4 linked regions of the Macaca fascicularis genome follow. The protein of the gene in region 1 purifies or fractionates together with the protein of each later gene. This does not show direct contact. Links are inferred from orthologs where the notes say so. Each region holds a gene or a part of one and is shown on either strand. Other genes may lie near its edges.

What was found.
Region 2: the proteins of gamma-interferon-inducible protein 16 (region 1) and RRS1 purify together in Homo sapiens (affinity purification with mass spectrometry; 3 studies listed by BioGRID and IntAct, with this or other methods). This does not show direct contact. The link is inferred for Macaca fascicularis from reciprocal best matches to the Homo sapiens genes IFI16 and RRS1.
Region 3: the proteins of gamma-interferon-inducible protein 16 (region 1) and DDX54 purify together in Homo sapiens (affinity purification with mass spectrometry; 3 studies listed by BioGRID and IntAct, with this or other methods). This does not show direct contact. The link is inferred for Macaca fascicularis from reciprocal best matches to the Homo sapiens genes IFI16 and DDX54.
Region 4: the proteins of gamma-interferon-inducible protein 16 (region 1) and NAT10 purify together in Homo sapiens (affinity purification with mass spectrometry; 3 studies listed by BioGRID and IntAct, with this or other methods). This does not show direct contact. The link is inferred for Macaca fascicularis from reciprocal best matches to the Homo sapiens genes IFI16 and NAT10.

What each region holds. Positions count from the first base shown.
Region 1 is NC_088375.1:102,032,000-102,034,308, reverse strand, and holds the end of gamma-interferon-inducible protein 16, read left to right. Parts: intron 1-182; coding exon 183-374; intron 375-1,474; coding exon 1,475-1,555; 3' UTR 1,556-1,809; downstream 1,810-2,309.
Region 2 is NC_088382.1:76,416,294-76,419,902, forward strand, and holds RRS1 (ribosome biogenesis regulatory protein homolog), read left to right. Parts: upstream 1-1,406; 5' UTR 1,407-1,524; coding exon 1,525-2,622; 3' UTR 2,623-3,109; downstream 3,110-3,609. UniProt on the Homo sapiens protein: Involved in ribosomal large subunit assembly. May regulate the localization of the 5S RNP/5S ribonucleoprotein particle to the nucleolus.
Region 3 is NC_088385.1:120,109,702-120,113,672, reverse strand, and holds the start of DDX54 (ATP-dependent RNA helicase DDX54), read left to right. Parts: upstream 1-1,171; 5' UTR 1,172-1,193; coding exon 1,194-1,367; intron 1,368-3,971. Other genes in the region: RITA1 (RBPJ-interacting and tubulin-associated protein 1), read right to left, coding at 626-633.
Region 4 is NC_088388.1:31,470,425-31,474,558, forward strand, and holds the start of NAT10 (RNA cytidine acetyltransferase), read right to left. Parts: upstream 2,801-4,134; 5' UTR 2,329-2,800; intron 1,777-2,328; exon of another isoform or gene 1,683-1,776; intron 1-1,682. UniProt on the Homo sapiens protein: RNA cytidine acetyltransferase that catalyzes the formation of N(4)-acetylcytidine (ac4C) modification on mRNAs, 18S rRNA and tRNAs.

The sequences.
Region 1 (2,309 bases):
GAGGATTGAAAAGGCAGGATTCACAGACCAAGTGTCTGAAGCTATTTGGTACCTGTCATTCAGGACCTCCAGCTCTATTTACTCTATCAAAGACCAAAGTTTCCAGAAACACCCTGTATTTCTCATAGATTGGAAAATTATTGATCCAGTTTCAGAAGATAAGTGTTAATTTTCTTTTGCAGAAAAATGTAAGGGGTGAATTCACTTATTATGAAATACAAGATAATACAGGGAAGATGGAAGTGGTGGTGCATGGACGACTGACCACAATCAACTGTGAGGAAGGAGATAAACTGAAACTCACCTGCTTTGAATTGGCACCGAAAAGTGGCAATAACGGGGAGTTGAGATCTGTAATTCATAGTCACATCAAGGTTGGAACTTTATGGGAACATCATTTTTCCAAAGTGGCAAATCGTTTTGTTTATACTTTAAGAAAACTAGACTGCTACTATTACACGGAGAGTTTAGCAAGTGGAAAAGGAACAAAGCCTTGCACTTTACTGGGTGTAAACTTCCCATCATTGTTTTTGAAGAAGGATACTTGTAATCATAATAAAAAAAATTAGAGAGACTTTCAAAGGCTATGATACCTAAGTTAAATAAGAAAGAATTGGTTGCTTTTACCACAGCATGGAGATAATTTAATCAGAATTTGCGTTTGGTTAAGGCACATTTGTTTCAAATGCTGGCTCTGTGATTTTCTAGTTGACTAAAGACTTAACACTAGGAACCTCAAGTTCATCATTTGTGAAATGGGAGAAATATTGTCTACCATAGAGGGTCATCAACTTAGCTCACAGCAGCCCTAAATTACCAAGAATGCATCTGAGCAAATCAGATCACAAAGGTACCTGCCTTTAGTGAGATACATACACTGGTTTACATCTGACAGAGGTAGTTGGGTCTACATAACAAAGTTCATGCTTTTTGCCACACTGACACACACATTCATGTGGGATTCTTGGAACACTAACAAAGGCTAATACTGGAAGGCAAACAATTCAAAACAAAGGCTGACATATTCAGGCACACACATGCTCTCAGATTGCTTCAGTTCTCGGGAACATCAGTCAAACATTCCAAATCTTCTTTGATAGCAATTGCACCAGGAATACCTTTTGTACTCTCTTCCTTCCTTTCTGCCCAATGAAAACCTTCCCCTCAACTCTAGTCATTGGGTGCACCAGCTCCTTTCTCTCTCCTGTTGTTCCCTGACATCTCCTGCTCTTTCACTTGCACTCATGCTAAGTAGGAGTGAATATCTTATTTCACGGTCCCAATTAAAGAGAGAGGCATGACTCAAAGGTCAAGAATTTATTAAAGGAGACAGATGGGAGTGAGAAAAGAATCATTTAGAAAGGAATAGGGGAAGAGATATGGTGCATGGGGAGGAGATACAGTGTGATTGAAGAGAGAAATGTGGGATCACCAGCATCTCAACTGGTCTGTCTTTATCTCTTTCTCCTTCAAGGTCATCAAGGCCAGGAAAAACAAGAAAGACATATTCAATCCTGATTCAAGTATGGAAACTTCACCAGGCTTTTTCTTCTAAAATCTGAATGTCATTGATGGTAATGTTTATGGAGATAGGTCTAAGTGCCTAAAAAATGTACATATACCTGGTTGAAATACGACACTATATATGCACACCATTATCATATATACCAGCTGTTAATCCTATGGAATGGGGTATTGGGAGTGCTTTTTAAATTCTTTATAGGTTTTTTTTTAATAAAATGTCATATGTTGTATCTTCAACTTCTATAATTTGAAAAAAAAAAAATAAACATTATCTTTTTTCTGAAAGGAATTCTTCCCCAGCAGTCTTTTTAATCCATCCATGAGTTGCTTAAAAGCAAATAGTTTGTGGTCTGCAAATTAGGGTGGGGCACACAGGCCTCAAGCAATATTTGGATTTATACTTTGGGTGTGATCTTTACAGGGTAAAGCCCTGGTCAAGAATGAACAGGCTGTGTTCTGCTGAAAGAAACCAGGCTGAAGGGGTAGGTAGGGTGAAATCCAGCTTGTGGTTCAGTTGCCAAGCGCTGTGTTATTGTTTTAGCCCAGAGCAGTAGATACCTTTTCAGAATTGGTCTCCTGGAGGGGGCATAATTGGGTAAATTTTCTGCCAAATAAGGTACCTTCTGGTGATGTGCATGAAGGCACTTGTCTGTGTTAGAGGAATATCTGGGCCTGCCTGATGTGAAATATCTGGTTTTATGCATTTCCTCAAACACCGACTGCTCTTCAGGCACTTTCGAACCATATTTCCTTTTCTCACAATCCACTATAGTGATCTGATCCAT
Region 2 (3,609 bases), on another chromosome or scaffold:
GGGGATATTATGCTGCTGGTATGCAGACCACACTTTAATAAGTATCAAGAGCTTGGATGACAATCAGAGAACACATCTACAGACTTAAAGCCAGAGTTAACATATCTCTTGTTCTTATACTTCCTAGTTGCATAACTTTAGATAAGTCATTTCACCTCTCTGAGCCCTCCTTGTTTCATCTGTGAAAATAATATAGTTAATACAATAATTAATAACATAGTTAATACTAATAGCTAACACATATTGAGTTCTTACTATGTAGCAGGAACTAATGTTTCATGTTTGTCAATTTATAAATAAGGCTTTAGGTCAAACATCCTCTCCAAGTAATTGTGACCTGATACCTGACTGTAGGCCGTTTAACTCAAGAACCACTGCAGAACACCATGCAGCACTGCCTCTTCAGCTTAGCTCCCAGAGCCTATGAAAACGAAATAATCGGTATTTAGCTAACTTGTATCGAGTACTCATATGCTTCAGGCCCTCGTTTAACCCTCCCTTGGAAGATATTAACTCATTTATCTTATAACCACCCTAGAAAGTATTTTTATCCTTATCTCACAGGCCTTAAAATGGCCTCAACAAGTAAAATTGCTGAAGCACCAACAGTGGCACAGTCAGGATTGGAACCTAGGCAGTGTAACTGCAGAGCCTGGCGGAGAGTGTAACTGCAGAGTGTAGCGTAGTTTCAGCATTGTACTAGACTAGGTTCTGTAACTGCAGAACCCCGGAGCTCCAAGTCAGCTAGCTCGCTAGGGTCGGTGCACACCTGCGCCCACTCGGGGCAGCTTCATTGCCAGAGCCACTGACTCCCAAAACAAAACCAATCTTCTACAATTAGCATCTGTGGGATGTTATGTTTCTCGTGCCACAACTAGGAACCCTGAAAGCAAATTATGACTCCGGTGAAACAATTTGGCCCTAAGAAGGGTGATTGTCTAAACATCTTCACAACGGATTTACACAGAAATTGTAACATGCACTTGATTGGAAACCCACACCACAGGCAGTCCCAGGAATTTGTACCCGCCCTGGTCCTGGACCGCCCCGCCGGATTGCGCCCCAAGACTGTCCCCGGACCACCATCCTAACACCACACCCTGAACTGCCCGCCCAGGACCGCCCCCTAGACCGCCCCCCAGGACCGCCCTCTCTAGACCGACAGCGAGACTGTCCCAGGACCGCCCCCTGGACCGCCCCCGCGCCCCGCTGCATCCTGGGAATCGTAGTCCCAATCCTGCTCTGGAACGAGTAGTGCTGGCTGCTGGCGCCAGCTCCGCCTCTATCAGGCGTCAGCCTAAGGTGCCGCTTCTAATCCTATCATCTCTCCATACCGCCCTCTGCCGGCCTTTCCTCTGGTTGCCCGGATGGCGAGCCGGTTCCGGGCGCTCCGGAAGCGAACCTTTCTTTTCCGGATTGGGCATCCCGGCGTCTGCACGTGGTTATGTTGCCGGAGTTTGGGCCGCCGCTGTAGGAAAAGTAACTTCAGCTGCAGCCCCAAAGCGAGTGAGCCGAGCCGGAGCCATGGAGGGCCAGAGCGTGGAGGAGCTGCTGGCAAAGGCAGAGCAGGACGAGGCAGAGAAGTTGCAACGCATCACGGTGCACAAGGAGCTGGAGCTGGAGTTTGACCTGGGCAACCTCCTGGCTTCGGACCGGAACCCCCCGATTGGACTGCGGTGCGCCGGACCCACGCCGGAGGCCGAGCTGCGGGCCCTGGCGCGGGACAATACGCAATTGCTCATCAACCAGCTGTGGCAGCTGCCCACGGAGCGCGTGGAAGAGACGATAGTGGCGCGGCTGCCGGAGCCCACCACACGCCTGCCGCGAGAGAAGCCTCTGCCCCGGCCGCGGCCACTTACACGCTGGCAGCAGTTCGCGCGCCTCAAGGGCATCCGTCCCAAGAAGAAGACCAACCTGGTGTGGGACGAGGTGAGCAGCCAGTGGCGGCGGCGCTGGGGCTACCAGCGCGCCCGGGACGACACCAAGGAATGGCTGATTGAGGTGCCCGGCAATGCCGACCCCTTGGAGGACCAGTTCGCCAAGCGTATTCAGGCCAAGAAAGAACGAGTGGCCAAGAACGAGCTGAACCGGCTGCGTAACCTGGCCCGCGCGCACAAGATGCAGCTGCCCAGCGCGGCCGGCTTGCACCCTACCGGACACCAGAGTAAGGAGGAGCTGGGCCGCGCTATGCAGGTGGCCAAGGTCTCCACCGCCTCTGTGGGGCGCTTCCAGGAGCGCCTCCCCAAGGAGAAGGCGCCCCGGGGCTCCGGCAAGAAGAGGAAGTTTCAACCCCTTTTCGGGGACTTTGCAGCCGAGAAAAAGAACCAGTTGGAGCTGCTTCGTGTGATGAACAGCAAAAAGCCTCAGCTGGATGTGACAAGAGCCACCAATAAGCAGATGAGGGAGGAGGACCAGGAGGAGGCCGCCAAGAGGAGGAAAATGAGCCAGAAGGGCAAGAGAAAGGGAGGCCGGCAGGGACCTGGGGGCAAGAGGAAAGGGGGGCCGCCCAGCCAGGGAGGGAAGAGGAAAGGGAGCTTGGGAGGCAAGATGAATTCCGGGCCGCGTGGCTTGGGTGACAAGAGAAAAGGAGGACAGCGCCCAGGAGGAACGAGGAGGAAGTAATAGTTTCTCACCGTCGGACCCGACTGAAAACCAAGGACTATAAATACTAAGTGTTAAGTTCTAGGTACTTGTACGGGGACTCAGAAGGACCTGGCCGCTGCCTTCATTGAGTTTAAAGGGACAGGATTGCCCTTCCCTCAAGAGAGTATGTAAGTGTTGGACTGCAGAAATTAATGTTTTTCCCACAACCGAGACTTTGGCTGGAGATTAAGAACTTATTTGAGGATTTAAGAATTAGGGAAATAATTTGGTGGAAACCAGGAATGAGTTCTATTCTTAAACAGCCTTTTTTATTTTTAACTTTGGATATAGGGTGAGGTAGAGTTGGCCATATTTCACACTTAAATTGACGTATATGTTTCTGCATTATTTTTACAACAAGCTTGTGTATCAGAGCGGGGGGTGCGGGGAAGGGAAAGAAAACAGTTTCAGAATTGGATAGGCAAGTGACTGTTTTAAAGGTTAAGTAATAAAGATGTCTTATCTAGTGTGGCTTTTAACTTTCTGACTATTGGGTAGAAATTGTACATGAAGCCAGTTACCGGGATACCTGGTACAGATTATTTTTGTTTACTTTCTAAAAAACACAAAGCAGGCCGGGCGCAGTGGCTCACTCCTATAGAGTCCCAGCACTTTGGGAGGCAGAGGCAGGCGGATCACCTGAGGTCAGGAGTTTGACACCAGCCTGGCCAACACAGTGAAACCCCATCTCTACTAAAAATTAAAAAATTAGCCGGACATGGTGGCTGGTACCTGTAGTCTCAGCTACTTGGGAGGCTGAGGCAGGAGGATCGTTTGAACCTGGGAGGCAGAGGTTGCAGTGAGCCCAGATCACGCCACTGCACTCCACTCCAGCCTGGGCAACAGAGGGACCTCAAAAAAAAAAAAAAGCAATTAAATTATAATAGTTTCAGTGAGACCACTTTTAAACTTATACTTCTTTTGGTATCAAATATAATATTCAAAGTAGTAAAACCAATGGCTGTT
Region 3 (3,971 bases), on another chromosome or scaffold:
AATGGAGGAATACTGGTAGTCTCTGAAGTTCTCATCCCAAGGGTTTAGTTCTCTCTCAACCAATATCTCAAAGGGGAGCTGTCAACTTCAGGGGGCATTTTGGAAATTTTTTTGGCTTTTTTTTTTAGTTGTCAAAATGGTGGAGAAAGGGGTGCTACTGGCAATCATTTATAGAATGACTCTGGGGGTGAAGGAGAGATGACACCTGTGCCCATTTAGGCACCAACCAGAAAACGCACTATGGTGGTAGGGGAGACAGGCACATTCCTATATCCTGTGTGTACTGATGGGTGCAGGGGCAATGACAGCCAGCGTGGATTCCATGCCTACCTCCTGCAAAGAGCTTTACAAGCATTGTTTCATTTAATCCTCTCAACAGCACTGTGAAGTAGCTTCGAATTTGTCCATTTTACAGATCACAAAACTGAGGTGAAGTCACATGTGTAGGTCACACCTATAAAGCTAAAACGGTGGAAGTGAAATCTGAGTCCAGAGCTTGTGTACTTGGCTACACTGCTATCGGGAGATTACCGCCGCCCCCACTGCCCCACATTCTGCGACTCCCAAATTCAATGACCCGATTAAAAAATGCCCGAGGTCCCTGCATTTTTGAGCTTTCTCCTACCTGAGCATCTTGGTTCGTAGTCATCGGGGTCCTCAAGGACCCCTCCCCGCGTCTTCTTCCCTCCAGATCTGGACCCCCCGGCGAGGGCGCGGGGGAGCGCGGTGCATCCGGGATCCGCGTCAATTTGCAGCCCGGAATGCCCGGGGCCCCGGACCGCCGGCAGCCCAGGCCGTGCCGGGGCACCGCGCGCGGACCAACTCACCCGAGGAGCTGGCACAGGCGACGTGTGAGCGGCGCGCGCATCCAGAAAACCAGAACCCAGCACCTAGCACCCAGCAAACAGGGAGCAGCCAGCAGCACTGCGCACGCGGCCCGGACCATTCGCGCCAAGGGATGGGGGGAGTCCGCCCAGGGGCGGGCGCCACGCCCCTGACGCCCAGGAGGTACCTAAACACGGCGAGGGGCCTCTGGTGCCACTCACTCAGGGGCTGGTGTACTAGGCCGCCCAGGGCCGCAGACACTGGCGAAAGCGCAGCCGAGGTCACATGGCCATCGCGCCTCCCCGCCCCAAGCAGTTGGTGCGCGCCGCAGGCCACGCCCCCTTTTGCGTTCCCAGCGCGAGGCCCGAATGGCGGCAGGCAGGCGCCCGGCGGCCGGCCCTCGGTCGAGAGCTGCCATGGCCCAGTGGAGGAAGAAGAAGGGGCTCCGGAAGCGCCGAGGCACGGCCTCCCAGGCCCGCGGCAGCGACTCGGAGGACGGCGAGTTTGAGATCCAGGCGGAAGATGACGCCCGGGCCCAGAAGGTAGGCGCTTGGGGCTGGGACGCACTTTGGGGCCCGAGACCCGGCTCCCGGCAGCGCCCCGAGGCCTCAGTTTCCCCAGCTGGGGAGTGGGCTCCGCAGAGAGTGAGGAGGGAGGCTGCCAGCCCGAGGACCGGTCTTGGGACCGCCGGCCTGAGCACGTGTCTCGGGGCTTGTCAGGCTTAGGGTCCCGCGGCTGGAGCCTGCGGGGCCTTCCTGCCGGGTTTTGGTCGCGCGTCTCTCATTGGCTGCCTCCTGCACATGGGGCGGATCCTGGTTGCCTTTCGCCCAATGAAAAGTGCCGGTGCAGAAAATCTGACTTTGAGAGTTTGGAGCGTTCTTGGGAGGTTGAGTTAAGGGAAGGACGGACTGCGTGGCTTGAGACAGTGACGCCCCCAAACCTCTGGGAAGCTAATTTAAAAATTAGCATGAGCCCGGCCAGTTTGTGTTTGTTGACCATTTACTATGTGCCAGGCTCCATGCTAAGAGCTGTACGAGCCTTATTATGTAATCCTCACACCAACGCTGTGCTAACACCACCGGCAACTGTCATCTTCATTTTTCCACAGGAGGAAATTGAGGCCTCGAGGGTTAAGAAATAGTCAAAGGCCTGGTGTAGTGGCTACACGCCTGTAAACCCAGCACTTAGGGAGGCTGAGGTGGGAGGATTGCTTGAGGTCAGGAGTTCAAGATCAGCCTGGGCAACATAGGGAGGCCCCCGACTCTACAAAAAATTAAAAAATGAGGATGGCCGCAGTGGCTCAAGCCTGTAATCCCAGCACTTTAGGAGGCCGAGGTGGGCGGATCACTTGAGGTGGGGAGTGCAAGACCAGCCTGGCCAACATGGTGAAACCCTGTCTCTACTAAAAATACAAAAATAGCCAGTTGTAGTGGCACGCGCCTGTAATCCCAGCTACTAGGGAGGCTGAGGCAGGAGAATCGCTTGAAACTGGGAGGCAGAGGTTGCAGTGAGCCAATATCGCACCACTGCACTCCAGCCTGGGTGACAGAGCAAGACTCTGTCTCAAAAAAGAAAAAAAAAAAATTAGCCTGGCGTGGTGGCGCCTGCCTGTGGTCCCAGCTCCTACAGAGGCTGACATGGGAGGATCACTTGAACCTGGGAAGCGGAGACTACAGTGAGCAGTGGCTACACACACACACACACACACACACACACACACACACACACACACACACACACAAAAAGGAGATCCCAGCTTTACAAAAAAAAGAAAGAAAGAAACTTGACCAAGACCCTACAGCTTGTGAGTACAAGAGCCAGGAGATTCAAACTTGGGACTGTCTGATTCCAAGGCCTGTGCCCTTTCCATTACTGAATGCTACATGTATGCACATGAGGGGACAGGTGTGAGCACCAACGGGGCAGAAGGGTTTTGGCCATTATTTCCCACAGTCCTGTTCCCAGCAGGTGCCTGGCACCAGGTAGGCTCAGGGCAAGGAGATGAGTAAGTGGGCATTTATATGAAGAGAAAGGATCAAACCCCAAGGCAGGAACTGGAGGAGACCTCATCCCACCATCTCCCTCCCCTTCCAGCCTAGCCAGCTCCTGGCACACAGTAGGTGCTCAACAAATGTAGAGAAACTACTAAAGGTAATGAACAGCACAGGTGGGCAGAGGTAGTGAGTACCAAAGAAGAGGAGTCTGTGTGTAGTTCAGACCAAGGGCGTTCTCACGGCACCGCCCTGTGTTCAAATCTGGCCCAACCTTGCACTGGCTGTGGGACATTGGAGAGGTTGCTTAACTTCTCTGTGACTGTTTCCACATCTGTAGAAGGCAAGTAAATGATTATATATGTTTCAAAGATTGTTGGCCAGGTGCCATGGCTCATGCCTGTAATCCCAGCACTTTGGGAGTTGGAGGAGTGAGGATCACTTGATGTCAGGAGTTCAAGACCAGCCTGGGCAACATGGTGAGACTCTGCATCTACAAAAAATACAAAAATTAGCTGGGCATGGTGCTGTGTGCCTGTATTCCCAGCTACTTGGGAGACTGAGGTAGGAGGATCACCTGAGCTAGGTGAGCTGTGATTGCCCCACTGCACTCCAGCCTGGGTAACAGAGTGAAACTGTGTCTCAAAAAAAAAAAAAAAAAAAAGTTGAAAAGACGAAAGGAGGCTGGGCGTGGCGGCTCATGCCTGTAATCTGAGCACTTTGGGATGCCAACGTGAGTGGATCACTTGAGGTCAGGAGTTTGAGACCAGCCTTGCCAACATGGTGAAACCCCGTCTCTACTAAAAATACAAAAATTAACCAGGCCTGGTGGCGCGTGCCTGTAGTCCACGTGCCTGTAGTCCCAGCTAGTTGGGAGGCTGAGACAGGAGAATTGCTTGAACCTAGGAGATGGAGGCTGCAGTGATCCAAGATCCTCCCACTGCACTCCAGCCTGGGTGACTGAATGAGACTGTCTCAAAAAAAAAAAAAAGACCAAAGGACATGCTGTTCATACATGCTGTTCAGTAGCTATTGCAGGTGCCTGTGTGTCCCAGGCACCTTGTTTTCATGTGCTTAGAGCAGGGGTTGACCGACCTATCAAGGGCCAGATGGTAAATCTTTTTTTTTTTTTTTTGAGACGGAGTCTGGCTCTGT
Region 4 (4,134 bases), on another chromosome or scaffold:
CCCTCTAAGAGCTCCATAGGGAAGACATCAGTCTCTAGTTTTAAACTCAGGAAACCTTGGGCTTGGGAGGTGAGAAAACCTCCCCTCAGCCTGGGAAGCCTGTAATTCACCTCTATTAAAGACTTTTTAAAAATCAGAAACTTGTATATTCAAAAAAGTAGGAGAATGACTAAAATACATAGGGTATATCCAAATATCCAAAGCATTTTGTTTGTTTTTGAGACGGAGTCTCACTCTGTTGCCAGGCTGGAGTGCAGTGGCATGATCTTGGCTTCCTGCAACCTCTGCCTCCTGGGTTCAACCAATCCTCCTGCCTCAGCCTCCCGAGTAGCTGGGACTACAGGCGCACGCTGGCCAGGATGGTCTTGATCTCTTGACCTCCCAATCCGCCCGCCTCAGCCTCCCAAAGTGCTGGGATTACAGGCGTGAGCCACCACACACAGCCAAGCATTTTTAATAACTAAGGATATGGATATAGATGTTTATGACAGAATCATGACAGAATAAAGTATCATAACATTTCTAATGCATACACATAACAGAGGGGGAAAAAAAAAGACTGGAAGGAAGTATCAAAGTATAAAGTAGCTACTTCTAGATGGTGGGACTTTTGTTGTTTTGTTTTTGTGGAGTCTTAAAAAATTCACGTGTTACTAATAAAGTCAGGGAAATCAATAACTATCAATGAATAATTCCATGATGTAATGTGTCCAAATGTTTCCTCATTTTAAAACTATACTGAAGCCTTTGTACAGACCTCAAAAGTTCTCGCCGGGTGTGGTGGTTCACGCCTGTAAGCCCAGCACTTTGGAAGGCCGAGGCGGGTGGATCACCTGAAGTCAGGAATTCGAGACCAACCTGGCCAACATGGCGAAACCCCATCTCTACCAAAAACACAAAACTTAGCCGGGAGTGGTGGTGGAGCTGCAGGAGAGGCTGAGGCAAGAGAATCACTTGAAACCGGAAGGCGGAAGTTGCAGTGAGCCGAGATCGTGTGCCATTGCACTCCAACCTAGGCGACAGAGCGAGACTCCGTCTCAAAAAAAAAAAAAAAAAAAAAAAAAAAAATAGTTCCTTGATTACCTACAGTAAAATATTGCATCATCACAATAAAAACGTCAGAAATATCACTCTAAAAGTAACATGCTACTTCGATGTAAAAGTGACATGCTACTTAGAAATTCCGGTACCTACTGCATTACAAACATCAAGTTCATTTACTGAAGCTTACCACACTTTTTTTTTTTTTTTTTTTCTTTTGAGACGGAGTCTCGCTCTGTCGCCCAGGCTGGAGTGCAGTGGCCGCATCTCAGCTCACTGCAAGCTCCGCCTCCCGGGTCTACGCCATTCTCCTGCCTCAGCCTCCCGAGTAGCTGGGACTACAGGCGCCCGCCACCTCACCCGGCTAGTTTTTTGTATTTTTTAGTAGAGACGGGGTTTCACTGTATTAGCCAGGCTGGTCTCGATCTCCTGACCTTGTGATCCGCCCGTCTCGGCCTCCCAAAGTGCTGGGATTACAGGCTTGAGCCACCGCGCCCGGCCTAGCTTACCACACTTTAACTGTCCCTTCTAACCTTCCAATCCAAACACAGATTTTAGCATATGTCTTATTATAAAACACTAAATCACTGTCAAGGACCCCAATTTATAAGTAAAGGAGAAAGTATAAAGAATTCAAATACCCCAACGCAGAAAAACGAGAGACAGAATTCACACTCAAGTCTTCCCGACTCCAAAACCTGAGCTCTTCCCAGTTCACCAATCTTCTCAACTTGTAAACCCTGTGTTGCCGGCCACATAAAGATCCCGCAAAAATCAATCAACAACTAATTAATGGGGGCTGCCTTTTGCTCTAACTACTGTGGGAGCCCCAGAAGTAGTACCACAAGGCCCTTGACTTCAAGCTTGCATTCTTCGTGAAGAAGGTATTTAAAAGAATGAGATGAGGAACAAGAACCAGGTAAAATTAGATGTAAAAAAAACAGCTATAGTGCGGGGTCAGATGAAGGAAGCGCTGAGATTACTATAGGCTGAAGCTGTCATGGAAGGCCTGGATGGGGAAGGCCTTGAAGGAGATGATTATTTTTCACTCACTCATTCATTTATCTATCTACACATAACATCTAGGTGGCAGGCACCACTTTAGGTGCACTGGCAAACAAAACCAAATCCTGAATGTGATTGCTGAATAAAAAGTATAAAGGAATGTGCACAGTGAAGGATTTAAGAACGTGGAAGGATCTGGAATCAGATTACCTAAGTTTAAAGCTTAGAGCTGCCGCCGGGCACTGCGGGCAAGCTCCACGGAAAGCAAGTGTTGTCACCCACCCATTCAACCCGACTCCCCAGTTACAGGCACTTAGCGGGTGAGTATCAAGCCACGCAATCCCCGAGGATGCTCGAGAAGCACGCGCCCAGAGCGGCTGCGTATTGGAGAGGTGATTCTGTTATCTAGGAGCGCCCCAAAAGAGGGGTGGAGGACAGTCGGCGTAGGCCAGGTATCCGTCCGGATGCAGAGCCTTCATCCTGAGGCCGGTCCCCTCTCGGGACAGGAAGAACACAGACACCGATCTTGGCATCCATACGCGGCCCTCCCGCGTTGGGTACCTGCGTCCCGAGCCCGGCGGATCCCAGCCAGTGGAGAAGCAGAAGCACGTGGGAGCACGGAACAACTCCGAAAGAGAAGGCACAACTAACTGCCCCTAGCGGATGCCTGGTGACCGGGTCTCGGACTTGGCCTGGCTCCGCGGCACGCGCCGCTCTCAGGCACTGGTACACTGCACGTGCGCAAGCGCATTACAGTCGCAGCGATGGCGAGCGAGAAGGGACCTTCCTCAAGGCTGTCGCTGAGTAATGACGTAAGCCACCGGAGGCGGAGCTGGGGTCTAGATGTCCACTGCGGTTGCGCATTTTAGTCTCACAGCTCGCGGTAGCTGGGGTATTGGGTGCGGTTTGCCTCTTCACGCTCATCATATCCGAACTAAGGTACCTTGGCTGAGAAGGGCAAAATAGATGTCCGCACCCCCAGGGCCTGCCCACTAGGTCCAGGGTTTTCAGCGTCAGCCTGGGTACGCGAGACGCGACGGATCCAGCTATCTGTGCTCAATTTAACCGATCCCCGTAAGTTGAGGAAACTCGGCCGACAGACCTATTTTATTGGTCTCGCTTGTCCCTCCACCCCCACAGTACTGATCTTACAGATGGGAATCCTGTAATCTACCCATGACTGCGGCCTCTGTACTTTGCAGGCTCCCATTAGGCCTGCAAAGTCAAATGAAATTACTCCCCCTGGGCTTCCAGTAAACTCCAAGAACATGACTACAAGGACAACCTATACATAGCGTGTTGCATTCTTGACTTTGGGGCAGATCGCTGAACTTCAAAAAGCATTATCAACTGCTTGATGTTTCCTCCTGGATACCGCAGATGTCTGAATGCAAACCCCTTCCCCAGATAGACACTTCCAATTTTAATGTCATCAGCAGCACCACCCATTTAATCCAACATTCATCATGAAATTTTTTAGTTCATTCAGCAAAATGTCAATATGCCCATGCACTATTCTGCTCACAAGGGATAGTGACCAAAATGTTACTGCCCCTCGTGGTTAATTCTAGGTTGTTTTAAATGCTATTAAGCAAAAGTATCCAGTGAGTGAAGTAACTAAGGGCACTATTTTAGAAGCGAACACGGAAGGCCTCTGACGGGGGAGGGGGTGACACTGGATGAAACAAGGACCTAAAATTTATAAAGAATAAGCCCTGACAGTATCTGAGTGAAATGCTCCCCCATGCCAAAGATGTACATACAAAAGCTCCAAGATGGGGAAGAAGTCCTGGCAAAGCAGTCTGTGGCCAAAGCAGTGGGCAAGTGAAGGACCAGATTTAGAATTTAATTCTAGTCATCATGAGAAACCACTGGAGTTTGTGGGGGACAGGGAAATGAGAAAATGTGCTTTGCCCTCTTAAAAGGCTCTTAGCCAAAAAACTAAACCACAGGAAGGCAACGGTAGAAAACGGGAGAACGATTATAAGCTATTGTAGTCACCTGTGCTAGGATGGTAGTCGTGGCAGTGGTTAAAAGTATTAGATAACTGGATATTCAAGTTAAACTACGTGAACTCACTTAAGGATT